Linked DNA regions of Tribolium castaneum. The protein of the gene in region 1 purifies or fractionates together with the protein of each later gene. This does not show direct contact. Links are inferred from orthologs where the notes say so. Each region holds a gene or a part of one and is shown on either strand. Other genes may lie near its edges.

What was found.
Region 2: the proteins of protein-L-histidine N-pros-methyltransferase (region 1) and calnexin purify together in Homo sapiens (co-immunoprecipitation; 3 studies listed by BioGRID and IntAct, with this or other methods). This does not show direct contact. The link is inferred for Tribolium castaneum from reciprocal best matches to the Homo sapiens genes METTL9 and CANX.
Region 3: the proteins of protein-L-histidine N-pros-methyltransferase (region 1) and ZnT63C purify together in Homo sapiens (co-immunoprecipitation; 3 studies listed by BioGRID and IntAct, with this or other methods). This does not show direct contact. The link is inferred for Tribolium castaneum from reciprocal best matches to the Homo sapiens genes METTL9 and SLC30A1.

Annotation. Positions count from the first base shown.
Region 1 is NC_087394.1:24,600,147-24,611,385, reverse strand, and holds the start of protein-L-histidine N-pros-methyltransferase, read right to left. Parts: upstream 6,477-11,239; 5' UTR 6,232-6,476; coding exon 6,061-6,231; intron 5,574-6,060; exon of another isoform or gene 5,492-5,573; coding exon of another isoform or gene 5,453-5,491; intron 1-5,452. UniProt on the Homo sapiens protein: Protein-histidine N-methyltransferase that specifically catalyzes 1-methylhistidine (pros-methylhistidine) methylation of target proteins.
Region 2 is NC_087402.1:5,187,009-5,197,950, forward strand, and holds calnexin, read right to left. Parts: upstream 5,874-10,942; 5' UTR 5,678-5,873; exon of another isoform or gene 5,673-5,677; intron 5,670-5,672; exon of another isoform or gene 5,575-5,669; intron 5,389-5,574; 5' UTR 5,370-5,388; coding exon 4,143-5,369; intron 3,460-4,142; coding exon 3,319-3,459; intron 3,090-3,318; coding exon 2,949-3,089; intron 2,897-2,948; coding exon 2,708-2,896; intron 2,659-2,707; coding exon 2,599-2,658; 3' UTR 2,099-2,598; downstream 1-2,098. Other genes in the region: DNA repair protein XRCC1, read right to left, coding at 1-60, 109-159; parathyroid hormone/parathyroid hormone-related peptide receptor, read left to right, coding at 567-752, 800-1,044, 1,090-1,255, 1,305-1,589, 1,640-2,098; nSMase (putative neutral sphingomyelinase), read right to left, coding at 6,058-6,849, 6,898-7,081, 7,128-7,301, 7,349-7,380; gem-associated protein 5, read left to right, coding at 7,882-8,054, 8,105-8,237, 8,285-8,516, 8,564-9,509, 9,558-9,797, 9,847-10,018, 10,068-10,239, 10,285-10,694 and 1 more. UniProt on the Homo sapiens protein: Calcium-binding protein that interacts with newly synthesized monoglucosylated glycoproteins in the endoplasmic reticulum. It may act in assisting protein assembly and/or in the retention within the ER of unassembled protein subunits.
Region 3 is NC_087402.1:2,130,254-2,141,350, forward strand, and holds ZnT63C (proton-coupled zinc antiporter SLC30A1), read left to right. Parts: upstream 1-4,602; 5' UTR 4,603-5,076; intron 5,077-6,769; exon of another isoform or gene 6,770-6,801; intron 6,802-6,860; 5' UTR 6,861-6,866; coding exon 6,867-7,043; intron 7,044-7,091; coding exon 7,092-7,314; intron 7,315-7,360; coding exon 7,361-7,853; intron 7,854-7,898; coding exon 7,899-8,118; intron 8,119-8,187; coding exon 8,188-8,208; intron 8,209-8,468; coding exon 8,469-8,687; 3' UTR 8,688-8,914; coding exon of another isoform or gene 8,915-8,943; 3' UTR 8,944-9,302; downstream 9,303-11,097. Other genes in the region: UDP-glycosyltransferase UGT5, read right to left, coding at 1-35, 81-307; UDP-glycosyltransferase UGT5, read right to left, coding at 562-1,058, 1,105-1,339, 1,394-1,598, 1,645-2,064, 2,108-2,295; mitochondrial inner membrane protease subunit 1, read right to left, coding at 3,815-4,165, 4,215-4,316; radial spoke head 14 homolog, read right to left, coding at 9,698-9,784, 9,830-9,940, 9,989-10,104, 10,154-10,347, 10,394-10,563. UniProt on the Homo sapiens protein: Zinc ion:proton antiporter that could function at the plasma membrane mediating zinc efflux from cells against its electrochemical gradient protecting them from intracellular zinc accumulation and toxicity.

The DNA.
Region 1 (11,239 bases):
GTAAAATGTTACCTTTTTTCTTCTCTTATTTACGTTTATTTATTTATTTATATACGTATGTATTTATTTATCGGGCTGTCTGTCAGACTTGTAATTTAGTGTGACTGTGTTTAGGTCTTATTGTAATCGTGAAAAGTGTTGACGTCACTTCAATATCGCCCGTCTGTCAGAACGCTTTTGTTCATTTTCTTAATGCAGCTACTGGCTTAGCTCACTTTTGAGCTTTCAGCTACTGGATTCCACATAGATTGACTCGCTGATGCCCACTTGTCTAGTGCTTGACATCCACGACCATGGTGGGAAACGTATCCTGCACCCATTACCAGCATTTTCACTCTTTTATAAACCACCAAAGTGCTGTTTTCCGAAATCAAAAACCCGAGGGAATGAAACCTCATTTTCTTATTTTTAGCAAGAAATGAGAACGAAATTCGGAATGACAAATTGATATTACTTGAAAAAAATAGCAAAGCGATTTAATAACAAAGAGTTTTTCGATGTGGGGTACTGGGGAAAATAGTTGCAGTGGAATAAGAGGAATATTTTTTCTTTTGGTTCTTTTGCAGAATCGTAATGCCAGAATGGATTTTAGTTCTCGCCCTTATTATAAATAACTTATCTGAATAAAGAATGCACGTTTGGAACACGTTTTGGTACTCGCATCTCGTCTCGTATATTCGATTCTTGCAAGGGGTCCGAGTATTTTACTTCGGTCGCAATCAAAATGTGATCGAGCGCGCCGCGAGGTATTCCGAAATACATAAATTCCCATATATTGTGAGAGAGAAGCAACCCCCTCAGTTCCACCCTTAAGTAAAAATATATGTATCGAGTATTGGAATCGAATCCCGTGCCTGACACTCTGATACATTTTAAATTCACATTCGTAAGTACGGAAAATAAGTCTGATAGCGCGTCGGGAGAGAACGCCAGGGCCTTTGTTTCCGTTATTAAGCCCAGCCATTTTTCCATTTCCCGTCTTTTCTTCTCTTGCGTTTTGTTGTTGTATTTCATACGAATCCGCCTTGATTAGTTTCGCCTCCCGGCCTCTTTTCCGCCTCCTTGAATCATGCCTCGACGAAATTTATTCCAATACTTGTTGTTTACAAGACATTAGCCATATCGACTCTCTCTTATACAATCAAAGGAGAACAAACTGCATTCGACAACAACTACAATTAATCTAGAGAGAATTTTCAGACTCGAGAAACGACCATCATTCGTCTGCCAGACCAAAACTAAGCTCATTCCGGATTTTGCAATACATAGTTAAATGTGTGCACGTTTTGTCGTGTCAGCTCGCAATTCACGCATCATCGTGAATGTTTAATACAAGTCGCTCGGTGTTTTTCTCCAAAACCCTTATGTGAACGTGGCACATGCAAGGAGAAACTGGCGAGTGTGTGTGTCTCCCGGAGCCGTCCTCCTCCCTTTCCGGTCCCCGGATGCAAACGAGCTCCGAGATAGAGGCAAGAGACACCGGAGATCGAACGGTGATCGACTCGATGCACCTTCAGGATGCAGATTTGTGACGTTTAACGCGGTATAAACGACACTGGCTGTCTCACAGTCTCGTTTCGCATCCGTTTCAGCTTCAGATTTTCATCATCTAATATTCAGTCGAGTTTTATGTGGAAAAATGACGACCGAATTAAAAGGTGTGTGAGAAGAATGTCGAACCATTCAGAAAGTTAATTTATCCGTCTAGCGAGTTAATGAGATCCCGTAATTTTGGCTGTCGTAGTTAGTAAATAAAATAATTAGCGCCGGTCCGGCCCTGGATTATTTATAAAGTCGGGTGTTAACAGAAGAGACGGCGGGCACCTCCCATTCGTACCCTTTGAAATATGATTTTAATTAAGTTCTCATTATTTATGTTGATGAGGAGGCGAAGATAAGTGCAATGTTAATAACAATCATAACTCCGAACGGTAGCAAATAGTGGATGGAACGGGCCGGAATGCCATCGAGGCGGACCTGATAATTAAAACGGTCGGAATCCGGTCGGATTGTCGGGATCTGATATAGACCGTGTTTACATACCTGCCGACCGGCGATTTATTCATTTAATATTTAAATGGGATTACTACCGAAGGGAATTGGCGACCAGGTAGCCCACTATCGATGCTAATTCTCTCCGACAACTTGTTGGCTTGTTGGACACGAGCCGGCCCTGTTCTCGACGCGTTTACATTCTTCACGCACGCTTCACGACGGAAATATCAGGCAGGGACTTACCGAATTTTCGGCACGAAGAAAAAAACAGAAAATCGATTTAAAAACTATATTTTCTTCCTTCCTTCCACCCCACAAATGACAACTTCGTCTTTTAGACATGGAAAATGGAAATTTAACAATGAAACGTTATTAAGTACAAGTTGATGTGGACTCTTTTTATTTAACTTTTAACCTCTTCATTTTTCAAAGTCCAAGAAGTTACTACTTTTTTGTTTCCAAAAGGTTACAAATAAAGTGAAAAAAAGTTAAATATTTTTGTCTGATTACTTAATATGTAATTGCGAAAGGTTACTATCCAACACCAAAATGTCCCTTTGGACGAAAAAGTTTTTTGCGAAATTGAAGTTTTAAAAATGTTTTTCCTTAAAAGTCTGAGTATTTTTAAAAGAAGCTTGTCTCTTTTGTCGTTTGATGTACTGAGTTCAAATTTGAATCCCGCTGACGATCTTACTTTTTACTTTTTCAAGTAAATTTTGTGTGTGATGACGCGTGTGGTACAAGATACTTACATTTAATTTTTGGAATCTCCAATGACAATATACATATCTCCCGATTTGTCATAATAATAAAAACAACACACGCATATTATTATGACAAATCGGCAAAAAATTCAGAGAATCACATATTTTGTTTCAATGTTATAAGCTAGGAAAGCTTAGATACCGTACAAATTTTAAGTACATTTCTGACAAATCTTCAAATATTGATGATCGATGATAACATTTTGAAGAATTTTTTTTAAGAAATATTTAATAAACAAATCAGATAATATGCTACTAACTCTTTAATAAACTAATTTTATTGTTTCTCTTAAGAGGACACCTCCATTAACCAGACAAAAACGTGTCACAGTGGGTGTCCGTTTATTGGAGACTTCACTGTATTCAACTATCGCAAATCTCATAAATGTTTAAAATCTTCACATTCCAACTTAAATTTGATCACCTAATAATACTTGAAAATTGAAATTACATAGCATAATCAATAAATTTTCGGCCTTCAGATATCAAACGTGATTTTCCTAAATGTATCCAAACAAAAGGGTTTACTTACCCATTTCGTTTAAAGAAAGGAAAAATTGAAAATTTATTGAATAGTGTTTTATGTAATGGCCAGTAGATTTTTCATTTTTCGATTTTTTTCATTTTTGCATGCTCTCGTCACTATTAATTTATTCAAGCGTGCATCTCTCGGTCATTGTGAAATTCGGGTAGTAAGCGCGCGTGACAATTATGCGTTTTTTTGGAGGGAAGTTTGTCAAGGGACGTAGTTTACGAGCGGTCCCTAAGGTATGCTAACCTCCGGTTACGTACCTTCCCTTTTAGCTAGGCACTCAACGTGGCTCCCAGTCATAGTTCTATGCATCGCACGCCGCCACGCACCACTTCAACATATCGTTCGTCCTGATAATGTATTCGTATCGGGAAAAAGCTTCGCTACCGACCAGGAAAACGCATACGTTTCGTAATTTACACTTTGACGACGACGTTTCCGTCGAAGCAAAAGAAGGACTTTTGATGCCTGCGTGATGTATTCATGACGGGGGTTAACAAGAGTTTGTGTTCCCCAAATCTGACGCTACGATGAATATTTCAAGTTATTGCAGACGTTCGAAGAGGATACGAAGGGATTAAGGTGACGCTTTGTTTCTGCGAAAAGGGCGGCGGAGCAAAAATCGATGCTCAAAAAATAAAAGAATAAAAGATGAGATTTACACAATGCAAAATATCTAATGACAGGATACTATTGTTATTTTTATTCTGTACAAAAATTGCTTCAGCCCCAGAATAGCGTCTTGAAATTTCGAGTGATTAGTTTGTGTCAGTTGTTTCATTTTATGAAAATGTAGTTACTTGTGGCTATTTTTAAAGGATGCTGTCGTAAAGACGCTATTGTAATGGAATCAAAAAAGCAAAAATCGCTGTTAGCCGAGGCACCGCAATGGCATTGTATGCGATTTAAAATGCGGTCCCAATTAGAGCTTTTGAAGCTGTTATACATTGACGATCTTTTTGTTTTATCGCAAACATTTCGTAAACACAATCGCGATTATTCAGAGCCCGGCATATAATTGGCGTAAATAACGACCGGGCGCGCGTACGAAAAGAACCTTGAGACCCCTTTTTAAAAACTTATCCCGAAGAAGAATTGATCGCATTACAGAAAAATCTAAATCACAAATGATACAAAGGGAGTAAACTTTCTTATAAAAACTACATTCCATTGTACAAAATCCAGTTAACTCATTTCACAAGAGCGAGTCTCCTTTGCGAATTAAACATTCCGGATTGGAGCGAGCGGCAAATGTGAGATCGTGCTGATCATGGACCCGGACTGTATTCTTTTCTTTGAAGTATTTTAGGGAGCGGGCTCGGTAATGACGTTGCCGGAGTAATCCATGCATACACGGGCTCTGAAACTACCCCACACACACACATTCGGTTTCTTTTATTTTGCGAATCGCGAAAAGATTTGATGAAAATCCCCGGCTGCGAGGGGCGAGGGCCCAATCAGCGCCGAATTTAAGATCATTATCGAGCGTCGAACACCTCAAAAGGACGATTCAAACAAACGCTCGCGCCCCGAGATGGACCATTATCCGAAGGAAATCGATCGAAATGATAGCGCACAATGGAAAAATTTGCTCCCATACCCAAAAACAATTTTTAAAGGGTTTTTAAAGAAAAGACAGTATAACAAAAATGTACATTCTTTACTTTCTAATTTTTTTTTCATCAATTAGGTACTACTTTATTTCTTCTCGCATCCCTAAGCGGCTTCTTATGGATTAGTCCGTTATGACACAAATACCAAAAATAGAATTGCAAAAATTATACACCCAATAAGAAAGTGTTTTACTGATCGGTTTTATAAAAACTGCTAATTAAGTAAATTAGCTTTATTAATTAGGTACTATTATTTTTAGACCATCCGATTAAAAAAAAACAATAATTTTGTGGTTCCAAGTCAAGTTTTTATTTACAGAAAAAGGGTAATATTCAGTCGAGATATAGATTTTTTCGAGTATTGAAAAACTTCATTTTCTAGCAATTTAAATGCACAAACAGATAAATAAGACCCCACCAGATCTAAATTATGCAAAAGACAAAACGTGCGGTTTTATCGATATGAAATAACGCTCATTACAGTCACGATACTCTATTTACTCATATCCACCACGCCATCTCCGAAGAACTCCTAAAAAATTACCCACCTGGACACTCAACATGACCTTAGACTTCTCGAAAAGCATCTTCGTGAATCAAGTACCGCACAACAAACCATCATCACCTTGACTGAACAATAAATGTCTTAATCGTGGGATTCTGATAAGATAAGAAGTCATAAAACGAATTCTGGTTTGCCAAAAGCGGGCAAGTAACGAATTCCCTGTTTAGCAAATTGGTTTATTCGAAAACGTTTAATAAAAATATGCAGTTTATAAAATCCCCGATTGTGCGTCGTTGGTGTATCTGGGGAGTTTCGACGCAAAATTGAATCGGGACTCTATGCCCACGTCCTCCGAGTCGCCCCCGCCATAACCAACGTATCCATAAAATATTCACAAAGCAAATACTGATTTATTATTGAGTAATTGTTAATGATTGGTGGACGCTTTGATGACCTACACGTAAAGAAAATTGACGATAATTGGGTTTGCACAGCTACATGGATTATTTATGTAATCATTGTTCATAACGAGGGGAAAAGAAAGCAAAGAAACCGAACGAAAACGCTCGTTTTTCAATCTTGTTGAAAAAACCTAGGCAAGGGGCGATTTTCAGGCACAGCAAGCACACAATCATTAGCGTGTTTACTGACCTGGCTCTTGTCAAACTGACTCAGGAAGTGGTCCGTTTGCTGCTTCTCGTACAGAGCCCGCGCGAGGCCCCCACGAGGCTTAAAATTCAACGTGGGCCCTATGTCCTGATCGAGACAAAAATCACGATCCGGTCCTGATGAACTTTTGTAACAAACACCATCGTCCACCATCGCGGAAGAGTTGAATAAACAATGAATTTGATGACAGACAAAAGTGAGGTTATGCGGCACGAATTCACAAATTTACGCACTGAATTGTCTCAAGTAGTACAAAAATTGGTAGGTTTTGTAAAATCACAAAAAACGTATGTTAGGGTCAGGGAATTGGACACGTAGGAACGGTTTTAGAGCGTATTTGCTTTCACTTTTGACAGTTATAGAGTCATTGAGTTGGCAGCGCTGGATTTGAGATGACAAGAAACTACTAGGCGCGTAATTTGAATCAATTTTCGTGGGCTCGTTTTGATAAAAATGACTTGTCAGAATAATTAGATTAAATTCGAAAGTTGCATTGATCGTTTCGTGGAATTGTTCTTTAGAAATGAGCTGAGTAACAAGTTGTAATGAGTCTTTTGCAAGTAATTGCGTAATTGTCAAAAATATCTTCCATACATTACATTAATAACCGAGGTGAAAATCAGTTTTGAGCGAGAGCCGAGGTCCATTAACAAAAACCAGTAGCACGATGTTAATTTGAAAGAGATTTTCTTTTTTGTTCCTCGATGGACGTATTATGAAGCAGTGGCTAATGTACAGGTCTACCAGATGGAATTACAATTCACATTAATCTCAATTGTTCGGGGAGAAAATAAAGAAGACGACGTTGGTTCATTTCGGTAGCCAAACAAGAGCGACTTAAAGTTAATTAAGAATGAAATTATGACTGTATGCAGTTTGAGTGCAAAGTGTTGAAAATTGAAATTTTAATTAATCTTGGGCAAGACGAAGAGGGGCAAAAAGCTTTCATTAAGACGTGACTGGAGGAAATCGTGTCCGAGGAAAAAACCGACATTGAGTTTCGAGTAATTTAAATTTAATTATAATCCGAAATTTATACACAAACAAAAATCCAATTAAAACGGCGGAATTAAATTCGAGAAACGTTTTAACACGCGAAATCTCTAAATCGCATAAAAATTATCCGTGCGCATGATACTTTATTAGTGTCGAGACGTCGGCGAGGAAAACCGACCCAACTTACCGGACCCTTAAGGGCCGGAATTCCTTAAGGATTTTCCCGGTTTTTTAAATTGCATCGTGTAATTTCTACTCGAGTATAAATGAGGTTTTTTAATTGGAAATCCGAGCTGCGATCCGGAGGGACAAGAGGGCGTATAGTTAGCGATTTATTTTAATGAGAGTTTCGTTTCTTACGCCGAATCGCATGCCAAGTAGTCCAATAACGAAATATTATTACAATCGCTCTTTGCAGCTTTTATTGCCCTTTTTTCATTCGACGGTAATGAACGTCGTAAAATCCTATTAAAATCGTTGATGTGCCGGGGAAACTCCTTAATATAAGCCCCCACACAAATTATTTTACCTAATTCTCACGGAATCGATACGAGGTGGAGCTTTTTCGTGATCTTTTACTACATCGAAAATAAATTATTATCAAATGTTTGGATAAGCAATATTTTTATTGATGTCACAGCATTTCGTCATATCACGACCATATCAATCGAATATTGATTCCAACCCCAATCTGTCAACCTTCAACACCGCCGCCAACAACCTATGAAAACAAAAAAAAAACAGTGGACAAACGAAATCGTAATTCCCACAGCGTTTCAAAAGTAATCATAAAACCGTAGGATCCCAAAAATATTTTTATTTTTTTCGGACATTGAACTTGTCTTGTATTGAAGGCTACTTGTTACATTTGATTAAACTTAAAATACATCCTTGGGTTCCTTTTACCGTATTTTTATTGAAATAACGCAAGAACAACTTAAGATTCTAATAAAAACCTCGTTACAGCGTTCCATCAATTCATAATTCCCGTTCGTATCGAATCAAAAAAAACCTCCTCGTGTTTTTCGATTAATTACAAATTCCGTGAATATTTCCTAAATGTTCGCCACTTTCGAACAATTTTAAAAGCGACAAAAAATTGTCATTAAGCACATGAAGGTTATTAAAAGACTTTTTACAATGCACCAATTAGTCGCTGGCTACATTATTGTTCCGTGAATAATTCAAAAATGACAATTGAGTGAAATTTTTTGCGCGACACTTAATAATGGAAAAATAATAAATATTACCGTACACTTCCTCCTCATTGTAATAATTATTGTCGGAAAGAAATACGCTGCTTACGTAACCGATTTATGTACGTTGGAAATTTTGTGGTGAATTATCTGCAGGAGTTCACCCGCGGAGCTTTCTCTCATATCGAGGATTTATGCGACGAGGAGTGGAAAGGCGAACTTGAGGAGCAACGAGATTTTTTGTTTTTGTAAGACATGTGAAACAAAAAAATGCAAATAGAGCAGATCAACAATAATGACGAGAAAGTTAAAAGTGATGAAATTGGTTTAAGAATAATTAAACACTCAAAAACTTTGCATAGTTTAACAAGCTGAATGCTCTGACGCAAATTAATTTAATTCTAATCTCAAAAGTGATCGAAAAAGTGCCCCAAATCGCTTTCATATACTTATTGTAATGGTTGATGGTCAGTTAGCCACCCATTATTAAAAGATCTACTTATTATTCTTGACAGCAAGCAATGTTTCTTGCATCGTTCCGGTTCGTGAAAACAAGTAAGTCTTTATTATGTAAAATATGGAGAAAGTTCGGTGAGTTATGTTATCGGCTGCACCCTGTATATAGGAGTGCACTTAATTGTGTGAAAATCCCTGAAATTAGTCTTCAGCTTTACTAATTCAATTTCGAGTAAGTTGCGTGTTCCGATCGGATTTAATTGCTTAACGATTGCTCCGAGTGCTTTAAACTCTGTCATTATAATTAATCAAGAGAGTAAAACATAAAAAGCCGACGTTAAATGGCATTCCAGAAGTGCACTTTACGAAATTAAATTTCTGGTCTGAGGAAGGATTGCCCGTATTTATTAAAAAAGTAACAACAGGTACAATATCATAATTTAGCTGTAATTTTATAAAATTATAATACTACTTTTTGAGAATACTTTTTTATTTTTTTATACAAGGTTTGTCAGAAATACGCGTGTTAATTTTAACAGGTAACAGAGTTCAACAAATAAAAGATTTTTTCTATTTGTATTTTTTCAATAAAATTATAGTACTAAACTATCGTAAACTAAACTCTTGTTTTTTCAAAAGTGTGTTTAAAAACGTTAGGTTATATCGGTGTGCCAAAAGTCTCTGGAAATGGATATAGTGGTCTTATTGACCGCTAAAAATAAATAAGTAAAAAATAATAGAAAAATAGAAAAATAATAGAAAATAGAAAAATAATAGACCTGACCTGACCTGACCTGACCGCTAAAAATAAATAAATAAAAAATAGAAAATAATAGAAAAAAATCATTGCTCCTTATTTAAGATGCAGCAGCTCGTCAAAATTGGAATTGTAGGAAAATCAAACTTGTTAGCTTTGTTTTTAATGATTTATTTTAATGTTTACTTGACTTATTATCAATTTTTTCAAAAAGAATTAGGAAATCATTTCTTTTGGTTTTTAAAATGAGTTAAAAATACCAGTTTAAAAGTGCAGCAACATTTAGTAATGTTACCATGGTAATACTTTTGGTAAATATTTTTCTAAACATATAAAAATAGGTACACTTGTACGGCGTTGCCATTTTTTGTTTTTGATTTTAGCCAAATTAAAGGTTTTGTGATTTTTTTTATCGAAAATAGTGTTCTGTATAAGCTCTATCTAGGTGCTCTTAAGAGCCTATCCGCAACATTTAACACACCTGATACATAGAGGATAGTTATTTTTAAAAATTACTTTGAATATTTTGAAAGTGGATTAAAAAAATCACTAAATTTTATTTAGGTAATCTTGAATTACCGATTGACAAGTAAAATAAAACGTTCATATAAGTAGTTTAGTAAAATATTTCTATTAATTTTATTTGATTTGATTATTTATTTGTTTTAACAAGTTTATACGTTTTCCACAAGTCACAGTAGATAGATGATTAAATTATTAAGCTATTAAAATTAGATACATCATTTAAAGAATCCCTCCGAGCTGTACAAACAATTTGTTTTCAAAAAACCTTTTTATTTTAAGTTTTCAGTTATTTAAATATAGATATGAACGGAGAAAGTTTGAAATCATATTATAGTTTTTTTAAACATAATGGAAATAGCGTTCTGGTTATTTTTGCAAAAATTAATTTTTAGGATTGTATCCTCTGGGTCTCTAATTGGGGCTTTAAGATTTTACAAAAATGTGTCATTTACTCGTTTAGGTTATAACTTTCGTTAAATTTCAAGACAAAAACTTGATTGTTCAGAGTGTTGGAAAATAGCCTCATTTTTCAAGTGTTTTTTTGAAGTATGTACAATTAAAAATGTGAATAAATTTCGATCGAGAGGTTATTATTGAAGCGTGAAATAGTAATCCGGCGATGTAACAATTAAGTTTGATGAACCTGAGTGTCGGTTTTTCTCTCTGGTAAGGACAGATTTGAGACGGTCATGTCATTACCTGAGGTAATTCGATTGGTAATTTGCGGTCTGGCTGACAATGACCGTTCCTCCACGCGTCGGAAACAAATCTGTAATTGTACATCAAACTCTAATCACACTGCCCAACATTCTTCGGATAATATTCCATCTTCAATCAAGGACGGTCGCTCGGCTGGAACGTTTTCGAGACGAGAATCGATCGTAATGTAGCGTTTAGCGCTGTTCGAAATTATCATTTTTATTCCAATAAAAGAGGGAAAAAAAATGACGATTTTCGGGTGTATGTTGGTGCCTGGATCGGCGATTAAATAATGAAAGAGTAATGAATGTGACGAGTTGTTTCTCCCTCGCCTTGATGCGTATTAGGGTCCCCTTGTACGCGGGTTTTATTTATTCATAGCAATTATGAATGTCAAAATTTGAGAAATAATAATAACAAGGACACAAGACGAAAGCGGCCGTAAACGTGTGAACGTAGCAGGTGGCCCCACGATTCCTAAACAGATCAACTCTATTATCAGACAAGATAATTCAAAACACGTCTATCATTG
Region 2 (10,942 bases), on another chromosome or scaffold:
ATCTTTGCATTTCCATTTTTTAGCGGGATCGCTGTTTAGAACGTTATTTGCGACGTGAACCTTTAACATTTATTTAAAAAACAATCGTTTACATGTAAGAAGTCTTACGGAGTCCTCGCTGCTGAAACTAACAACGTGGTCAAGCTTTATTTTGGGCATTTTACCAAATAAACTTGTGCAATTCAAAAAACATGAACATAACCTTAAAATTTTGACGGGGTTTTGCGCGTCAAATTTGAATTTTGCGCGTTTGTGGAGCAATCAATCAGATTGAAAGCAACAACAAATATTTACCTATTCCTATCTAAGATTAATTTGAAAAAATACTGCTTACGTTCCGATTGAATCATTAATTAAATTTATAGCAGTCGAAGAAGCGGCTAGTAACAACCAATTATGTAACGATTATTCGATGATTTTACTCAATAATGAGGAATTTTAAGTGATTTAATAAAATAAAAATAGTCGATTCATCTATGTCAAGTGGACTCGGTTCGTAAACAAGTAAAAATATTAGCATACCGCCCAATATCACCTTACAGAACGCAAGAAAAGCCGCAAGGACGATGAGCGAATTTCAGGACATTCTGAACACAGCGAAAAGAAAGTGTTACGCGAGCAAAACCACCGAAATTATCACTGGGAAATTCTGCGAATTGATTTTCGACGATATCTTGTGCTGGCCGCCGACTCCCGCTGGACTTTTGGCCAACCAGTCGTGCTCGAACGAGTACATAAAATGGACCAGAAACGTAAGTAATTCTGAACTTTACTCCAATTTATTTGGCAAATTTATCAGAACTACGCCACCAGACAATGCGACAGTGACGGCCAGTGGTTTATCCCCGAGAATTCGACCGAATCATGGACCAACTACAGTCAATGTGGTAACATTTCCGAATTTTATCCGATTTTAGATGACTCGCTCCGCAACCACACTCTGTATAACAAGTGGCTACCAATTATCAAAAATATTACTCAGTGTGGCTACATTTTATCAACGGTCTCACTAATTATATCTTTGTTTGTCTTCATACGTATCAAGTAAGTGCCACCATAGGAAAAAATAAAAGTGAGAAATTTTTTTAGGCGATTACACTGCGCTCGAAATAAGCTTCACATTCACTTATTTGCCTCGTTTGTAATGAGGGCCCTCATGTCTCTGATAAAAGACGGATTGTTCATCGAGGGGACGGCCTTACCGCATGAAATTATTCAAATAAATGGAAAGCTAGTTTACAACAAAACTAATTTCGTGAGTAGCTTTTTCAATCACATAGAAAAAAACTAACGGTTTTGTTTAGTCCTGGGTTTGTAAAGCTATAATAAGTCTCTGGAATTATTTCATAATATCAAATTACATGTTTCTTCTGATGGAGGGCGCCTATTTACACAACTTGCTCTTTTTGAAATTGCTTTCGGAAAACGGGGTTGTAATTTATTACAGTTTGGGGTGGGGGATCCCCCTGCTTTTCATAATTCCGTGGATTGTTCTAAAGGCCGGGAATGAAAATATTTACTGTTGGACAACAAAATCCAGTAAATTTATTGCAATGTTGATTGATGTCCCGATCGGACTTACGGTGGTTGTGAGTTTCCAATTTAATTAAAAAAAAATGTTTGAAGCACCAAATTTTAGATCAATTTCATTTTATTTACAATAATCGTCCGAATACTTTTCGTGAAACTGACTTCGATGTACATTCAGCAGCGCTGGACCAAGTACCAAAAGCTCATCCGTGCTATTTTAATTTTGGTGCCTCTGTTCGGGATCCCTTACACGATTTCGTTCGTGTTATCGTTCTATGCGCTGGAGGACCAGACGTTTGAAATAATGTGGTTATTTTTTGACCAGACTTTTACAGCGTTTCAAGGACTTTTTGCCAGTTTGGTTTATTGCCTCTTGAACAGCGAGGTTCAGATGGAGATAATGCGAAAATATAACTCTTTCAAGGACCGCAATCGGGAGTTTAAGAGGCGAAGTCGCACGATCTCGCACACGCAACAGATTCCGCTGACTGAAGAGTTGCAAGAAATGCCGCACAACGCGGGGATTAAAGATCAGCTGTGCATTAACAAAACAAGTGATTATTTTTAAGTTTATTTATTGTAGCTTTAGTTCCACACACAATAAACTTAAGTAATTTATTTTCCTCTGAACTATTACATAATCACAGGACATTATAAATATAATATAGAAAAATCGCTGATGCAAATCATGCAATGACATAATACTAGTACGGGCGAATTTGGTCTGGGAAACTGAAGAGCTGCCGGTGAAATGGTACAAATTACCAAAAAATAGTTCCATGTTTTTTATTTTCTGTAATAAATAATCCTCAAATATACAAACGGCTTAATACCTTTCCCTTAAGCCCTCCGTTTGATTATTTACAAATACAGTAAAATGAACCGCTGTCAAATACTTTATTCGAAAACGTAACAACTACAATTATACTATTCTTTCAAAAAGAACAAATTTCCTAAGGAAAAATGGAACGAATAATGTACAGCAAAAAAACAAACAATCGTAAATAAATACAACTGCAGGATTGCATGATGAAAACAGTGCTGGTGCAAGTTATACAAAAATTACTATCACTCCTTACGAACTTTTCGTTTCCTCGCGCCGTCACCTGCACCTTTGGATGACTGTTCCTGCGAGAACATGATAAACCCAATTTTAATTTTAACGACTGAATCTCACCTCTGTTTTTTCCTCTGATTCCTCTTCTTCGTCGGAATCAGGCCCTGAATTCTTTTCTCTATCGTCGTCTTCTGCATTTTCAGCTTCTACTTCATCTTCTTCTTCTTCTTTACCTTCTTCTTCTACAACATCTTCAGTCGTTTCGTCAGTCTTTTTATGTTGCGCTGCTTGTCGAAGCTCCTCTTTCTCCTGTCATTGTCACTTATTAACACCGCAAAATTTAATGCAATAGCCAAAATACCTGAATTTGACTAGCAGAGGATCCAGGCTTGCAGCAAAGGTATAATACAAAAACAACAGGGATGCCTAGTACGATAATGTATACTCCCCAAAGCCAAGGGTAATCATTGGTCAAGGTAGCTAATTTTTGAATTACGCTTTCCTATGTCAAAACAAAGAAAACTATAACTAGCAGTACGAAAATACCTCTTGAATGCAGAAGTAGAGGTACCATATGTAACAACAAACCGGTATGGCGCAATAAACGAAATATAAGAACCACGGTACAGGTTTATAGTTTAACTTTTTCATAAGACGACCCCACAGTGTCCTCTTATTTAGTAAAAAATCACAAATATAATAAAATTCATTTAAATTAAACAGATACTAACCGAATCCTTGGCGATCTTTTGCTTCTTTTTTTCAAAAGTGGCGTCTGCCCAATGGTTCGCAACGGTAATATCGTCGGTAATAATAATATTGTCGAAGAAAATGTCCTTTGACATTGACCATAACTCAAATCCAACAGCGGTCTGAAAAAAGTTATTTGTCCAAAGATAAATTAATCTTGAATGAATTGCAAAAATACAATTCTTTATTTAGGTTTACAAAACATTTTTATCACAATACGAACGCAAATTCGCCAAAATAAGCATAAAAACGATTGGGTGTGGCTAAGTATATATTACTTCCTTAGTTAGCATATCTCACATAGCAACTAAATCCTTTTGTAGTGACACAAACAATTCTTTTTTGCAACATGTTTTGTTGAAGGCAACAATGCAATAATCAAATACGCAGTTTCGGTAAAAATATGGAAATTAAACAACTACAATTCTGCCAAAAACCAAAGATAATAAAAAAAAATCGCAAAAATAAATGTGTCAATTTCAAGTTGGCTCAATTTTATCAAGAGGCAATTCTTTTACCATTTTCTCACTGTCCTAGGCACTCTAAAAAAATTGCTAACAAAATTAGAAGCTCAGAATTTGTTATTTTTGTACAAAGCATATCGAAATATACTTTTCACAAATTCTGGAAACTGGAGAGGAAACTAGAGCTGACAGCCAAATTTTGACTGCAGATTTGTAAACTATGTTCTAATAGTGTACAAAATCAACTGATAAATTTGAACAAGAAGAAAAAATAATGTAAACATATCGGCACCAATAATTACAGTTACATAAACAAGATAATTTTTTAACCATTTACTTACAACAGTCTGCATTTTAAAGGGATGCTTATCTTCGAAGAACTCGGGATTGGGGATCCTCCTGGGCCTCCACTTCCCCTTATAATTAGGATTATCGATAAGCGGCGCCCTCCACTTCCCCTTATAATCGGGATTATTGATAAGTGGGGGCTCCCAAGGCCCACACCCGACAGCATCCTTACAAGCGGGATTATCAATAAGCGGTGGTTCCCACTCCCCGTCCATTTCCGAATCCCAATCTTCTGGTTTCTTTGCATCAGGATCGAAAACATGCGACGGTTCATTATCCAGCCAACCTTCCGGTTTCACCGCTGATTCATCAACAATCTGAGCCGGCGCATCCTCATCCCAATCGTCAGGTTTCACGGCATCTGGGTCAGGGATTTTCTCCCTTTCATCCCAATCCTCAGGTTTCTTGTCATTAGGATCGTCAATTTCTTTCGGAGGATTCACTGCCGGGGTGAAATCCTCAAGCAAACTTCCCGAATTGACCACTTTGTTGTCGATTAGGATCTCGAAGGTGTTGTCAGGGTGCAGGACAAGGGTGAACAAGTGGGGGAGTTTGTCGGAGAAGACTTCCTCAATGCGGTCTTTGGGTTTTTTGCAATGCTTTTCCTCGACGCTCCCGTTGAGAGGGTTGCGGTGCTTGAAGATAAAGTGGAGCTTGTGGTCGTTACCGCACTTGTCGGGGCCGAACATGATCGAGTAGGGGGTTTTATCGTGGAAGTTGTTCAAGTTTTTACTGGCGGAGTCCTGGGTGAGCAGCTTCAAGTAGGCTCCGCCACATTCTTGGCCGTCTTGGAATATTACTTCATATTGCACGATTAATGGTTTAGTATCAAAAATAAACGGTTTTAGGAGAGAGGAGGCAATAGCAGCGTGTTTAGCCTTTGATTTAAGCACTAAACCTTTGTCGCCCACTAGACTGTCTTTTTGGGTTGGTTCAAGTTGCCATTCACCGTCGTATTTTGCGATGTCTTCGGAAATCCCTTCTTTCTTCGCTTGGGATTTTATCCAACGTTTCGCAAACTGGTCTGGATCGTCGAAATGCTCGGCGAAATAGACCTTTTTCGGGTCAAGGGGGCTCGGACTTTCGTAGGGGATATCAATGTGTGATTCTTCCGGTTCTACTTCCACAGTAGCCTCGTCAGAATCGTCCACTTCGTCACATTTTACCGCCGAAAATATCAACAATAACGTGATTACTGCCGGAACGAGACTTCTAAGCATTTTGTGATCATATATTGTCCTGCAAACCAAACCGGGCACTAATTATGTGTCGTGATTACAGGATGACGAAACGGAAGCAGTATTTACTAATATAAGTCAGGGACTAATCCAATTTAAAAAATTAACCTGAAAGGTTAGTGAACGCACTTCCCAATCGATTAGTTACGAAATTACGCCAAATATCGACAAAAACGCACTCTCTTACCCAACTATCGACACGCTATTACTACAAAATGCACAAAAAAGCCGACTTCACGATGAAATAATTAAAATTCTAGAGACCGACAAAATAAAATGACATACCTAACCTCAAAATCCGGAAGTAGTTTTACACAGCACTCTTACAACACTAGCTTCAGCACCACAGTCTTAACTCAAATTGGTGTTTACTTAGGCTGTATTTCATTTATTATCAGATTATTTTTATTGTAGTTCTTGAACACCACGTAATACACCGCATTTATGAAGAGAATAAACACAAATTCGCCGACCAATCAGCGTCAAACAGATGGCAAAGTTGCGCTCAGTTCAAAAATAGGCGGGGAAAAAAAGTACAAACAGTTAAAAAATGAAAACTTTATTCACCAGTGGTACAGAAACGATCACAGTCGTACAAACCAAATAAAAAATGAGCAACAGGTGTTGGTCTTTGATTTAAAATACTGAGCTTGTTTTGGCCCTGATATAATTACAAATCTTTGGCTTTTAATTTCCTCAAAGCTGTCTCCATTCCCAACTTGCCCGCAATCACAGCATGACGTTCGATTTTATTCCAGATAGTTGCCATCATCAAAGTGTAAAACATAAAAAGGGTGATTAAAATTTTCAAAATGTGGTAAATAAAATTCAGATTGTAGCCGAAAGGTAGGTCAGTTGCAAGTGTCGTAACCAGCAACACGATTAAAACGAACGTAAAAAACCAGTACAAATATTTATGGTTATTCAAGCCCCTGAGTGCGTCATCACAGATTTCTATGCTCTCTTCAAGGACAGTTTTCTTCATGTGTTGGTCGCTTTTCAGCGACCTTATCTCGCTCTTTGTGACGATTAAAGTCGCAGCGATTGCTTCATGGTCCGAGTAACTGTACGCACATCCGGGGATTTTGTGTGGTAACGGCAATGTGTAGCTTTTTAAATCGATTTGTAAACTTGAGCCTGGATGATACATGATATAGTCGATTCTTTTGCCAGGAATGTTTTTCTTGAGTAAGGCCACGGGTGTGTAACTATTAGTGAGGCTTTCATTTGTCGCCACACAATTCTGCACCGTTTCTCCAGCTTCACCAAACGCATCTACAAGTCCCGGAACACTCAACATTATCCTGTAGGCTAAATCTCCAGGTTCGGTATTTAAGTCCCCGGCCAGGACTACTAGGTCGGCGTCTCCAGACGTCATTTGGATAAATTGAGCGGTATCGAAAGATTGGAGCACTCTGTGAGCTTGGTATTCATCACAATTTCGGTCGTATTCTGCGTGCAACTAAAATTATTACTCTTTGTGTTGTTCATCAAGCAAAATAAATCTTACATGTGCAGAGTAGACGTTGACGGTGTAATTGTTCACCTTTAATTTACATAAACCCACGCCCTTTCCACCAAACCAGTCACCATGGTGGATTTTATGAATGTAACCATTTACTGGCCATTGGTGGAAAAAAACGTCCTCCATCGGGTGTCGCGATAAAATACAAACGCCAGAGCCCGTGACTCCGCTACAACTCACCTTTACGCTTGTTTCAACTGAATTTTTGAATTTACCTGTAAAAATAGTGAGAGTATGGTAACACCCCTGAGACTTTGTTTCTGATTAACTGGTAGTCAGAGTCAAGCCATATCTCTTGGAGGCAAACTACATCGTACTGGCTAGTCGCCAACTTCTCAGCTATTGCCTGCATTCGGTGTCTTCGGTTCTTGGAGACCACCGCAAGGCCCCTAAGAATTTTGTGCAATTTTGTAACATAAATCACATGACAGCTTACCAGCAATTCAAAGTAAACACTTTAAACTCCATTATTACAGAAAATGATAGATTTATAGAAGTATTTTTGCGAAATAGATCTAACTTTGTGTTAAAAGAACAGTGACGTGTGACATTACTGTTGACATTTTTCCTGCATGGCCACGTGACAGTTGTCAAACGTCCAACAGCGTAAGTTAAAAGGGTGGCGAAACATTAAATAAATTAAATCGACTCGCAAAAATTACCAGAATGTAACAAATAATCAGGTAACGACCAATAACTTTTTTCGGTAATTTTTGGATGAGTTAAGCTTTAATTTGTAACAGAACTTGGCTGTAGAAAACGAGAATGGTGGGAAATGGTGGAAATGCGTGCAGGGATTGTCTGGTCGACTGTAATGTTTATGGTGCTAACTTCAATTAATTTCGGACGGGTGAACATTCTCCGGTTCAGACGTCTTGTTCAGTGCACAAACTCGCCCAACCACATGTGAAAATAACGTGTAAATGCGTTTTAAAAGTTACTTGTTCAGTTGTTGAATAATTTGGTGAGATGAACGAGTTAGCTGTTCCTCCTGCGCCCCTTTGGTACAGGAGTTCAGTGTTGGCGTGTGCCCCTGACAATACCTTGGTGTATGGCGCAAAAAGCGATATTGTTATCGTTAGGGAAAAAGGCCCCGAAGAACCGGCCGAAGTGAAATTGATTCATTCGGCTCACTCTAAACTGTACTTGAGTTTTACGTTTCTTGGCCGTTTTTCTACAATTGATGTTTCAGTCTCACTTCCGTTAGTTTGAACAGGAGATGGAAGGAGCCCCATTCGTACGTGGTGTCCCTGGGGGAAGACAGCGTGATGAAGGTGTGGGACTTGGATACCTTCGAGAAGAAAACGTCGAATAGGGATCATGTGGTAAGTCTGGTATTTTTAAGGAAAGCACAATGAGATAATGATGATAGGAACACAAAAACCCCGTAATTGGGGCCGTTTTTGCGGGTGATGATCGCGTCGTAAGTGCGTCATCGACCGGTTTTGTACACGTCTGGAATATCAACACGAATGAGTCCAAGCCTTTGGTAGATTTATTCAAAAGTAAAGTCACTCTGACTTGTCTTTCGTCGTGCCCCCATGCCGGCTGGCTCATGGCCTTTGGACTAAATAACGGTGTGGTGATCGTGGCCGATTTGCGTCGTAAGTTTGCGCATAAAAAATACTTTTTGCTCATGTAATTTGTCCAGGCAATGGGCAAGTTTTGTATAAATTGAGGGGGCATTATCAGGCGGTTGTTTGCTTGTCTTGGTGTCCAGCACCCGTAAATATCTTTCCGAGACATGGCCAGAATACGGTTAAAAATAAATCAAGCGAAAGTGAGCACAATGAGGGTTCTAGTTCAGATAAGACAGTTGAGACCAAAGAAAAGGTCAATCCTTGGGTAAATCTAGTTCATGCAGATGATGGCGAAGCCTCATCTGGTAAAGAAACCCTCTCGGACACAATCTCCGATTTTTTGAAAGATTGTCATCTTTTGAAAAGTAAGATATTAGGGCTTGAACCAGAACTTGTAAAATCAGCGGAAGTAAAAAACTCAGCCGCTGATAACGAGGCAGAAAGCGAAGTTGAATGTGAACGTGAGTTTGTGCCTGAAGTGGACTGTGGTAGGCCTCTGCCGAAACTGTACGACCCAAGTGGCGACTTTTTGGACGATTCTGTGCTAGATTCCGAAATTATCGAAGATAAAGATGAAGGAAATGAGAAGGATATTGAGCACACGGGCTCAGAAGTGAAGACTGATCAAACGGACGAAACCCGCGAGAAGTTTGACTCGCCGGAAAAATCCGAATGTGATAGCGTTCTGGAATCAGAAACTGAAAAACATGATAATACTCCAGAGGAGTCGCCAAAAATTGCTACTCCAGAGGAATCTCCAAAGGTTGTAGAACCGATTGAGGAAGAACCAAGAGCTGAGTATTTGCTCGCATCGTGTGGAAAAGACAAAAGTGTTTACATCTGGCGGGCGGGGACTGACGGTAGAATGCAGACGTTCTTCCAAGCCGCTAAAAAGGGCAACAATCGCAGGAAGAACGAAAGCACTTGGATGTCCCTGTGTTGGATTGCCCCAGATTTATTACTGACCTCGTCAACAAAGGACGAACTTCTAGCCTGGCCTTTGCCCAAACCCAAAACGTATAACCCACCAATTGTTAATCTTCACTTAAAAATAAAAATTTTTAGACCCAAGCAATACCGAGTTGTCCACCTTGAACACTCATCCCTCATTTTCAACATCGTGGCCCCTCCCAAGTACACGACGGCGTTCAATTGGCGCGAAAAACACGAACTTAGTGCGTGGACTTGGAGCCAAGACGGAAACTTGGTTTGTTTTGACTTGGACGCGGAAAAAACACGGATGTGTTTTTCGTGCATAACTGCGTTCATCACTTGTTGCGATACTTCACCTTTGGATCCCAATCGGTTTGTTTTCGCATTCGTTTAATTTTATTTTAAGTAAATATTTGAACAGACTTGCGATCGGTTTGAAAGACGGTGGTATCAAAATCTGGGATTTGAGTCTCCCACATACTAAAACTATCACAATGCAGAAATACCATCCCAAATATACGCACAAAGTTACCACGATTGCCTGGCACCCTACCAGGGAAATGTTTCTAGGGTTCGGGACTGAGGAAGGACGCGTAATTATACCTTTTAACTTAAGTTCCCCCAAATTAATTTTGTGTGTAGGTCGGCTCGATTGACCTCATTTCGAAGAAAACAACGCTTTTTTCTCACTACTTTCACAGCCAAGTGTATAAAGTCGAGTGGGGGCCTTTGAATGCGGACTTACACAACTTAGGGCTTTATGCGGTGGCTGAGGGCAAGATTATCATTTATGACGTATCAAACCCCGACCAAGGTATTTTTTTTAAGTTGAAGTCTTTTGATAACAACTAGTTTCAAGGGCCGTCTTTCTTGGACCTTCCCAACAACTTGTACGTCTATAAATTCGCCTGGAAGCCGGACTTTCGTTTGCTTTTGTTGAACGGAAAAGACGGTTCTTTGTTGGTGCTAACGATCGATTTAGTGGCCATTACTACGCTTTATCCGAACGAAAAAGGCCTTAACGGAATCGTGTGGCATCCTGATTCTTTCATGGACAAAACCGACGTTTCCCCTCGTTGTAACTGGTTTGCAGCGACCACAGTTAAAGGGATCTTGGTCTACGATTGCGGGTCAATCCGAGAAAGTGACAATTTTGCCGAAAACATTGTCGCTACGTTTGAGGGACATGTGAAGCCGCCTTTGGCCTTAGCGTGGTGTCTTTTTGATGGTAATAGAATCGCGTCGACTGCTTCGGATGGACTGGTCCATGTAATTAATCCAAAATTATCACAATCAGACTTGAAATTAATATTTAGGTGTGGGACGTGTCAACGAAATCAGCAGTTGCGACTTTTGTTGACTTCTGCCTGAGTCATAATCCGGCAGTTGTTTGGAGTCCGATCGATCCAGATTTGATTATTACAGGTGATAGGATGATTCAGGTTTGGAGAGTTTCCAAAAATCCGCCAAAATTGGACGAAGGTAGGATTCCAAAGTGTTCGAAATGGTAAAAGTGT
Region 3 (11,097 bases), on another chromosome or scaffold:
ATGGAAGGCTTCCACGAATGCTTAACTCGTTGTATCTAAAGACTCAATTGAGTAATTTAAAATTACGGATTTGTGTGAACCTTTCTGGGGTTTTTTCGGAAAGAAAATGCGTGACGTAATCAACTTCATGCCCTTTTTCAGCAAGACGTTTCAGGAGGGTCTCGAATAAAATCGAGTGACTTTTCACAGGAAAAGGCATAATTCCCAAAATGTTGGCCGTTTCAGTTATTGAAACGCTCGGCACAATAATAAATAAATAAATAAATAACATTTTCAGCTTGCGGACACGGCTTATTTGTATTAACATTACCTTGCAGTGGGCTTTATACGCACATAATTGTTTTTTGACGCCACATTCGCTAAAACGAGTGTTCCAATTTTGTTTATCAAGGGGAAAAACAATAAAAAATTAAATAAACCAGACATGTGATAAAGTTTAAGTGTTTTTAATAATGTTGAGCCTTAAAAATACGACAAAACCTACATTTATAGTTTGACGCAGTTAATGAATATTCAAAAAAATACAAAAACAAATTATGTACAATACCAGGAACCAATAAATCACTCAATTTTATGTTTGTGGTTACCGTAAATAAAGCGAAGCACTAATTTCAAGACGTACGTGGTCAATAACAAAAACACGAAAAGTCCAGAAGCTAGAATAACAACAACATCCACCAAATAATACTGATACCAGGCCAAGTCCGCCCCTGCACTTCGCAATTGCGGAGCTCCCTTATGCCTTATCACATATTCCACCCAATAAATGGCCGTGTCTAAGGCAGACAAAGGCCGATCTTTAAACTGTTTCGAAACGCGTTCAGCATTTTGCTTGTACGTTGGGTCTTCTAGTAATTTTTTCGAAGCCTCAAGTATAGTTTTCTTGCTGATATCGTCGTATGCCACTTTAATGGTAAGTCCCATGCGTTCAGAAGCACGGATGTTGTTGTCCTGATCGGCGAAAAGTGGGATTCCCAAACGGGGAACCCCACAGTAGACGGCTTCCTGACTCCCCATCAAACCGCCATGGGAGACAAATAACTTAACGTTCGGGTGGCCTAAAAATTACGTTAATTTCAGTTCAATTAATAAACAGTAAAGTACATAAAATGTCCATCTGGGGCATCCAGTTTTCGAAATGAATGTTTTTGGGGATTTTTAGCCCCTGAGGGAAGTTTTCGCGTTTCGCTTTCCATAAAACTTTGTACGGGAGTTCGGAAAAAGCATCAAACATTCCTTGCAGTTTTTCCGGGTCGAAGGTTTCAGTCATGATCATGGACCCCATTGTTAGGTAAATTATGCCTTTGTTGGCGTCACTTGTGACCAGATTTTCAAAATACTGCAAATGTGTGCTTGAATACCAAAACAAAACAAAGATGGGGGGGGGAATTACTTTGGATAATGGTTTAGGCTCATGGATGTGGAGCCCCCCGACTTCAATAAAATTAGGTACAGTTGGTCTTGAATGCGAAATACTGAAGTGACTATTTACTATCACAAGACTAGTGTTTTGGGCCAACTCTTCCAGAGATGGTAACTCGGGCCCGAAAAATTCCTTTGCGATTTTGTTCGATTCCTTTGACGAGAAGTAGTGGTACCTTTAATTTTTGTTAAATGATTTAGAATTACTTATCACAAACTTACAAAAACTTGGTATAAAGCAACATAATTGTGTTTTCGACTCTCTCAAAGAGGCTCATTTTTGCGGTGGTTGAAACAAAATAGTTTGGAATGTAGGAGGGGTTGTCTGGATTCCCAATCCTGTCCCCGGCCCATGGCAAACTTATACTACTTATTAGAGAGACAGTTGGGGCTTTAAAATAGTGACCAAAGCCCAGCATACAATCCGAGCCGAAAATTTCAGTAACCACAAGATCGTACTTTTTTTTGGTTTTCTTTAAGTCGCGCAAAACTGGCGTGTTTAGAGTCGCTGCACAAACATCAACGCCACAAATTTTGGTCATGAAGTGAATCATGTGGAAGTTTGTGAAGCCGTCAAATGCATTGAGGGATAAATTATTGACGAAAATCGGCAGACTTCCGACTAGACTTAGCTGATTATACCTACAATTTTTAATAAGTGTGATAGGGAAAAAATTGTTTTTACCTGGCAGGTGGATCCTTTGTCGGAAAATGGGTGGCAATATCAACATTGTGGCCTTTTTCTGCAAGGCCTATTAACAGGCGTTCAAACATAACGAAGTGGCTTTTGCCAGGCATGGGGAAAATTCCGAGAATGTTGGCAGTTTGTCCGATTGCGAAAGTCGAAATAACAATAAAAAATACCGAACGCATTGTAAATTTATTGCAAATCTCACTGTGATAACTAGGTGATCCTCTGCTTTGATCGTTATATAAGATGTTGGCGAGTAATTGGCTTGTTGCGTGTTGGGGCACTTAGTTTCTCCTATTATTTTAAAGATGACACAGCACAAACGATTTGTAGAGAGTCTACCAAAAAATATAGCTTCTATACTAACACAATTAACTAATTATCGTGTAGTGAGTACTCGTGAGATCACTAATTAACTTTCAATTATGAAAAATTATGACCAACTGCACGGAAATTAAAGACTGCGCTTACAAAAGCTTTTAGTTTTGGATGTTCGAGTGACTATCATGTTTGTAGATTGATAAAAGCCATGAGTCTTCTGAATGTACCAAACGACAAAAATTTTCAAAGATAATCATTGTACTACATTAAGTAATAATCTTTGACCCAGATATTGAACGAGACCTAATTTCAATATTTCAATATAGTTTAATGCATTGGCAACTTCTCCTTCTAGATAATGCTCGACTTGTGATTAATTATGAGAATGAAAAGGCAGAATTTTTATTGCAATTGTAAACAATTTTAAATGGTGCACTAATCGAAACTAACTTCAAACAATTTTTTATTAGCGTGTTTTACTTACCGCCTAAAATCTTCAACTAACTATAACAAAAAAAAATGTAGCACATACTTTTCTATGAGTTTTTAAATACTGCTCTGCCACAAACTGAAGTAATAATATTATGTAAGTGCTGCTGCAGCGATTCAAAGTCTATAAAGAAAATTAACAAACTCAATTAAAATAAATCACAGCGGTAATAAAATAATAAAAGACCAACACAAATTCAATAAATTTTGTATTGTTTTGAATGTCGGTTGCGTAATAAACATTTTATTATTTCTGCGACTGTCTTGGTCATGTGCTTTTATTATTAACTCATTTGAAACACTTGAAACCAACATAGACCAAACAAAAGATGAAAATTTTTATTTTGCAAAAACTGCGTTTTGTATAGAAAATTTTGCTAATTTATCCCTCACTAAAATAAATACATGATAAATCACTTTATTAAACGAAGATTAAAGTTATCTGCCATATAACAATTAGGTACTATCTGGAATAGTAAAGTGTTTGATAAAACAATAATTAATTGTCTGGTACAAACGGATTTTTATACAGCTGCACATACAATGTAGTGTTTTGTGTTTCTCATATTTGCATTTTGTAAGGTGCTGTAGTTTTTTATTTAACAGGACACTCAAGTTGTCTCTTTCAACCACGAATATTTTTTTATAATTGTATAGAGTGTTATGCAACCATTACTACGGTGTGCTCACATTGTATTCTATTTTTTAGTCAATCTAAGATTAGAAGAGTCCGGAAAAGTACTACTTTACGGACGATTTCAAAATAAAATAATAGAAAAACAAAATAAAACAGCCCACATTTTTGTTAATTTATATTTATAAAATTTACAAATCAACAAATCACAGTTTTCTATTATCATTATTGGCTATTGGGATAAAAAGTCCGGTTAATTAGTTGGTTAACAATTTAATGTCCTTCAAGGGCCAGACTCGACACAGGGCCCTACTGCGGATGAGCCCTTGGGGCACTGGCCCATAGTTCCTAGAATCGGAAGAATTACCCGAATTATCGCCCTCCAACCACACGTGACCTCTAGGCACGATTTCGTAATTATTAAAACCAAGCCTAATTTTATCCCCCGGTAAACCAACCACTCTCTTACAGATATTTTGCTTAGGGTTGGAAGGACATTTAGCTATGACAATATTTCCTCTATCTATTCGATTCAGCCTAGCACTGACGTGTTCAGTTAGTAAAATATCATCGGAGTAAATCGTTGGCTCCATTGAAGGCCCTGAACACTAAAATTGTGGATTCGTTAAACAACGATAATTTTTTTAACTTTGTTACCAGAACAAAATCGCCTAGATATTCGAAAGTGCAGTGTGCCACACAGGCATATTGAATTACAAAGCCCACCGAACCCAGCGTTTTCCAAAAAAGCTTCCGCATAGCGATTTTTTTGGGGTTATGGGGGTTATGTCACATTTGACACTTGGCCACTCGAGAGGTCTCTCCACTCCCTCTAACAATATTAAAATTAAAAAAGTAATCAAAATAGCAGTTTTGAATCGTAATGATAATTTAAAGAGTAAAAAGTAATGTAATTTTTCTCTAATTAATTTAAAATTGCATTGGCGCCTATTGTCCCCACCACAAGACGCTTATCAATGACATAAAAGTGTGCTAGATAGCGCGATAAAAATAATTAAAAAATTCTACAAGGCGATTATCGACTGCCTCGTGGCTTTTTCGTGTCTAGGACAAAAAAATTACCGTTTTGTGAATTTTTTTTGTTTATTTGTTGCTTATTTATGTTTGTGTTGACGATTTTTCTCTTGACGTCATTAGAAACTCGTCCGTTCATTGGCTGAAATGTTACAGTGGTCTATTGTCTGTCAGTTCTTCAGTTGTGGTGATTCTATGGTAGTGAAGTGTCCTTCCTTCTGTCAAATTGTATGACGTACGCTTATGTATTAAATAATTAACAAGAAGCTCAGCTTTTCCATTAACCACTACAGTGTTTTCAGTTAGGCGTCTAATTAATGTCTTATTTCGTTTTAACAAAAACCCTCCAAGTTTAGGCAAATATGCTGTGATATCGTGTTTACAAGTGCTTACACAGGAGACTGTAAAAATCTACAAAAACTGACCCATGCTTCTTATTTCAGTAATATGGTGACACAAGTGAGACAGTTTTAACAAAAAACAGGTGAGAATTTTTCTGTGTAGGTACTGCTTTGTTAACAGTTACGTACAAAAAGCTTATCAATAACCCACTTTGCTATCGATTGTAAACATTTCGTAAACTCCAAAGCCAAGAAACAATGACTAATAAACTACTGCACCCCCAACAACACAATTTATTACTGGAACCAACAGCCGCATTTATTTTTGTACAGTTATTCCTAATGTCACTAAACTTGCATTTGCCCCCAGTTTCCTGAACTGTTTCAAATTTGAAAACGCCGTGTCATCACGAAAATCTCTAAAAAAGTACGGATTAACCGCAGGTGATTTATGACCACAACTTAACCGGTTATAATGAGCCTTCAGCAAGAATTTGTACGTGATTGGAAATGATTTAATTGCTTGTAGTTATTAGAAGTGAGGACTTTTTATTAGATAATATTTCCTCAAAGAAAGTTTTTGCATAAAGCGTTGTAATCTTTAAATGTAACTTTCTCCTTTGTTTACTATTACCACCCGAAGTGTGGTGGGTACTTAATAATTCATTCCAAGAATTACTCATCTTGCAATAAGCGAACATTCCTTTGTTAAATATTATTATTTTTGATAGCACGAACTTCGTAGTGATTTTTTCGAAGGTGAACCACGTTGTAAATTGCGTTTGTAGCGAAAAATTTTTTTGTGGTAAAAATTCATCACTTCGATTGTATTTACATAAGAAATATTGCAGCAACCTTGCAAAATTATCAGTATAGTGTATGAATAATGCAGCAGGAATTTAAATATTACATTACTCGATTTCTAGGATGTTCGACGTTGTAGAATCTGTTAAATCACCTTGCTGTTATAATCGATTTAAATGCAAATACAACGCGGTCAATGCTAGAAATATGGTTGTCTTGTGTCAGTTGCTACCTATTTCATGTTATCGTTATCTCAAACTATTCGTATCAGTATTTTATCTAATAGTAAAATTTATGTGCAGGAGCGAAGTATTCCAAAGTAGAAATCAGAGACAAAAGATCCGAGCGTTTCGTGATGCAAACTTAATCAATAAGCAGGTCAAACACCCAATTATCTCATTTTTCTAAACGTTTTGTTTGGTTTTATGCTTTCTTCATATCGGAACAACAATCTGGAAAGAATATGTGCCGAGTTCAAGTGAAAGCATAATCACGTCTAAATTTTTGAGCGCAAAATATAGTGTTTTGTGCTAGTATTTAATTGCCCACACTTGTAAATAACGGATTAAGCGGTCGATTAGAAAAATAATGAGTGTGTTTAGTTTCAAACTAACGACATAAACAAGTCAGTAAACACAAGTTTAAAGGAAGTGGTCGTGCTTTTATCGGACGGTTCAGTGATGGTTTTGCGGTTATTGATGTCCAAAAAATAATCAACCGACTGACAAGTAGTTTTCAGTTTCAACCAGATTGTGAAAATTGCACAATTCCTTTGTCGTCAAATACTGTTTATTCGGGGCAAACACTAAATAAAAAAATTCATTATCACCGAATTAAATTGTTTGTTTTGTATGGGCATTGTCTGAAAAAATGACTAAAGTCTGGAATAACTCAAATTTATCAAAAAACGCGATAGTTCAACTAATTAATTACGCCTAATACAATGGCAAATAAACAATTGAAATATTTTATTCATACGTGGATTCTTTGAACACTTGACTAATTCCCTTTGTGTTAACAAACTGTTATCAGTCACATTTAACAACCAATTAAGGCAGAAAAAGGTTCGTGAAAATAGCGGCGATTACATAATGCATAGCTTTTAATTTTTTTGTTGTTAAAGATCACAATGCCAAAATGGGCCGGAAAAAAGTGTCGTCTGCTCTCGATGTTGGGGCTGACGACGTCCTTCTTCTTCGTCGAAATAGTCGTAGGTTACATAACAAATTCGATGGCTTTGGTCGCGGACAGTTTCCACATGCTAAGCGACGTGGCCGCCTTGATGGTGGCCTTTGTCTCAGTCAAGGTAAAGCAAATGAAAAGCGTACGATTTTCCCAACTCGGAAAATTCCAGATGTCTCCGAAGAAGTGGTCGAAAAACACGTTCGGTTGGGCCAGAGCTGAAGTCCTTGGTGCTTTAGTCAACGCCGTCTTCCTCGTAGCTCTTTGTTTTTCCATTACAGTGGAAGCTTGCAAACGGTTCATCGAGAGCGAAGCGATTCACGACCCACAATTGTTGGTCATTGTGGGTGCGTTGGGTCTGTTTGTTAATTGTATAGGACTGCTGTTGTTTCATGGTATGGGGACGATTTCGTTTGGTTGTTATTTATGGGCGAGTTTTAGAGCATGGTAGTAGCCATGGTCATTCCCATGGTCGTTTGGCCCATAGTCGAAACCGCCTAACACAACTAGCCATGACTGACGATAACGAAAACGACGAAAGTTATCCCAGTCCTCCGCCGGAGAAATCCTCCCATCATGGGCACTCAAGCCCCGGACAGATGAACATGAGGGGGGTTTTCCTCCACGTGTTGTCCGACGCTTTAGGCTCAGTTATCGTAATTATATCAGCAGTTGTCTTCTGGCTGTCGTCGTGGAAATACAGGAATTACATCGACCCAGCTTTGAGCATACTGCTGGTATTGTTAATAATGAACTCTGTATGGCCTTTGTTGCGAGACTCGGCTTTAATTTTACTACAAACTGTCCCGACGCATATTCAAGTCGACGCAATCCAGCGGAGGTTACTGGCGAAAGTCGACGGAGTCGTAGGAGTGCACGAGTTTCACGTCTGGCAATTGGCCGGAGACCGAATCATAGCTTCAGCCCACATTAAGTAAGGTTTTCTGGTTAATTAACCCTCTCTTAATGTAAATGCCAGGTGCCGTAATTTATCCGAATACATGAAAATCGCGGAAAAAGTCAAAGAATTCTTCCACAACGAAGGCATCCACTCGACGACAATCCAACCAGAGTTCATTGATTACCAAGCTCCGGAAATCACAGATACTGACCAAACCGAAGATTGTGTTCTTGATTGTCCCAAAACCACAGACAGTGACGACTGCGTGCAAAACACATGCTGCGGTCCATCGAAACAAGTAAGTTACGACCGAAAAATCGAAAGTGCGCACATTAAAACAACCGTAAAATAATTGATTTTTTCTTAGTTGGAGAGAAGCCTCTTGAAAGTGAGAGTAAAAAAATAATGCGGCTTGGGTATTAAATTTTGGTTTTTGCTAACAGCTGTGATCCACTGTGTGATTAATGCGAAAAAATCTGTGATTGTTTTAATAAAACTATTTTACCTAACTTGTTTTATTGGTGGCACTAACACTGAAGCATCTCCCAAACAACTAATTGTATTTTAACTTCTTGTTACATGTTGACTTGTTTGTGGGGTGCGTTTGCGGTTCCAGGCGTCAGTTAGCCAACCGTTGTTGTGTTCTAGGGACGTGAGACGCCCTCGCCCAATAACACCCCGTATATGGTCCGTCAGCGCGGCAATTCCAGCAACAGTTCGAACAATTCGCAGGAAATGAACGAAATGGAGGCGGGAGTGCTTTTGGAAAAAGGTAATTCTCCAGTGCCCAAAGACTACAATTGTATCTCAAGGGGTTCACAGTGTTCGCAATACTCAGTAAGACCTGGTTCAGAACCAAGTTTCTGATACCTTGATGTTTCACATATTTTAATTAGGCTCTAGTTACCTTATTAAGTATAAAAAGTCGTGTTTTCGTGTTAATAACATCACTTCAGTTTTGTAATATGCTCTACCAGTAAGTTTCACAGATTTTGTTACTACTACAGTGTGAATCTAGTCTTAGTACAATTTTGTTTTCAGTTTTATTACTTGTAGTTCGGCTATGGCCAAGTTGGTAAAGCATATTTTTCTAGATAAGAACAATCTCAATACGACGGAGTGAAAGAGCAAGATTTCAAAAAATGATCGCGTACTTACATTGTATCATGTGATGAATAAGGGCGACAGAATAAAATCAAGTATTAATTGGGCGGTAGCTAAACGTCAAAACCAGTACCTTAAAAAGGCCCTTCATCGTTTACACGTAACTAGATTAGGAAATTTTCTCGGCTATTTTGCAAACTTGTATACCTACCGTGTTGGGTGAAGTACAAGTGTTACATATTTATATTTTATTTTGTATATTAAGTATTATGTTACATACTTTTTATTCAACATCTAAAAACAAGGTTATACTATATTTAAAATCACAGACACTGTGTGCAGCCTATTGATGAAATAAAATTAAAGGAAGACTAAAAAGTGAGCTTTATTTGGTGGGCTTTACCTTACCTAATACTCATCTTCGGACCTCTTTTCCCAGTCAAACAATATAGCTTAGGAGACGAAACGAGATACAAAATCAAGGGTTTTCTGAACCCAAAAAAATAGTACGGCAGAAATCGTTTTAAATTAATTTAAATCCAACCAATTTTTGCAAAAATATGGGTAGGTTGGAATTACAAAGTATAGGAAACTGTTTTTTTAAGTCTTGCTACGAACGCGTAATTATCACAAGCGGGCAGAAATTCATTTACATGCTGTTATTACGTGCACAAAAAATCCAACCTCTGCATAATAAATTGTTTTGCACGGAAGACTGTCAAAGCCTGAACACAAACATAACCAGTGTAGTATTTATACTAGACATTGACTACTTATTCTACTTTACGTTGAGATTTGGCATCTACCACACTTAACGCAATACCTAGCTGAGCTGCATAATAGGTGGACATGACAAGGGCCTAAAAAATAATTAATTTTCCACAAATAAATGTTAATTGAATTACCTGTGAATAATCAACTGAGAATTTGAACCGATCTAGACCCAGTATAAGGTCGGAGAGAACGAAAAGAATTCCACCAACACACGAACATAACTTGCTCCAAGTCCACAAATCCTGAAAAAATCACTCGAAAAAAAAATTCATTTAGTTTCACAATTTTACCTCAAAAAACTGGACTCGAGCAATGGCCCTCCACATCATCGTGGTCAAGATAAATGTGTAAATAATTACACCAGGAACTAGAATACCGTGTAAACCTGACATTAAATATGCTATACCTACAATTGGAACAATCGGGGAAAGTTCGCAATAAAACCATTAACATACCCATTACACTAATTGCGTATAAACATGCACCTAAGGTTAAATTAAGAGGCTTAAAACCGAACGCTAGAATGTAATTAATGTGCCCGATGGCAAATGCTAACATCCCAGCTTCGAAATATCCAGGCCAGATTAAAAACGCATCTCCCAAACAACAGAAAATTAATCCGACTAGAATTCTTCGTGAGTATTTGTATCTAGGGCGGGAATTAGAGCAGGTCACCAGTGGACTTCGCTACTTACTCATCACCCAAGCTCATGCCATGGAGTAAAACAAAAAGCATTAAACTTAAAATTGGTAAACATTTTAATATCGTTGATAAAACTGAGGGCAGATTGTACGGCAAAAAAACTACAAAGTAAATGGTAACAGTCTTGAAAAATGGAACCAGTTTGGGACCCACACTCTTCACCTGCAAAAAGTAAGTACACAAGTCCAGTTTAAGGATAACAATGATAATATTGAGTCACAAAGAGCAAACACAATAAACTGCGTAACGCATTTTTAAGGTCAGGGCGAGAATTTTCGCAACTAATTTTGTCACATGTATTGACTTTTGAACTATTCAACTGTAGTTAAAACTTGATGCTCTATTTTTTAAATAGTAAGAAAAAAACAAAAACATCTTTTAATTTTTTGAAACCAAATTATGTTCTCACGAAGAAGAGAGAAGAATAATTTTCAATACAATTTTTACATGATAATAAGTTCACTTGAACCCAAAATTTGAAAGGTCAAAGAGCTGACGAAATATACGCGAGTTGTCCACATTTTTACGAAATTAATTCTTTCAGTTTTTGTTGAAAATGAGTAATGAATGTATTATTAACTGGGGAAATATTAAATTATTGCATAATGATAACACAAGCAACCTTTACACTGTTATTTAATATAATAAGGCATCATTAGAACAAATTGTCAACTAGGGACCACAGACCAGAAACGC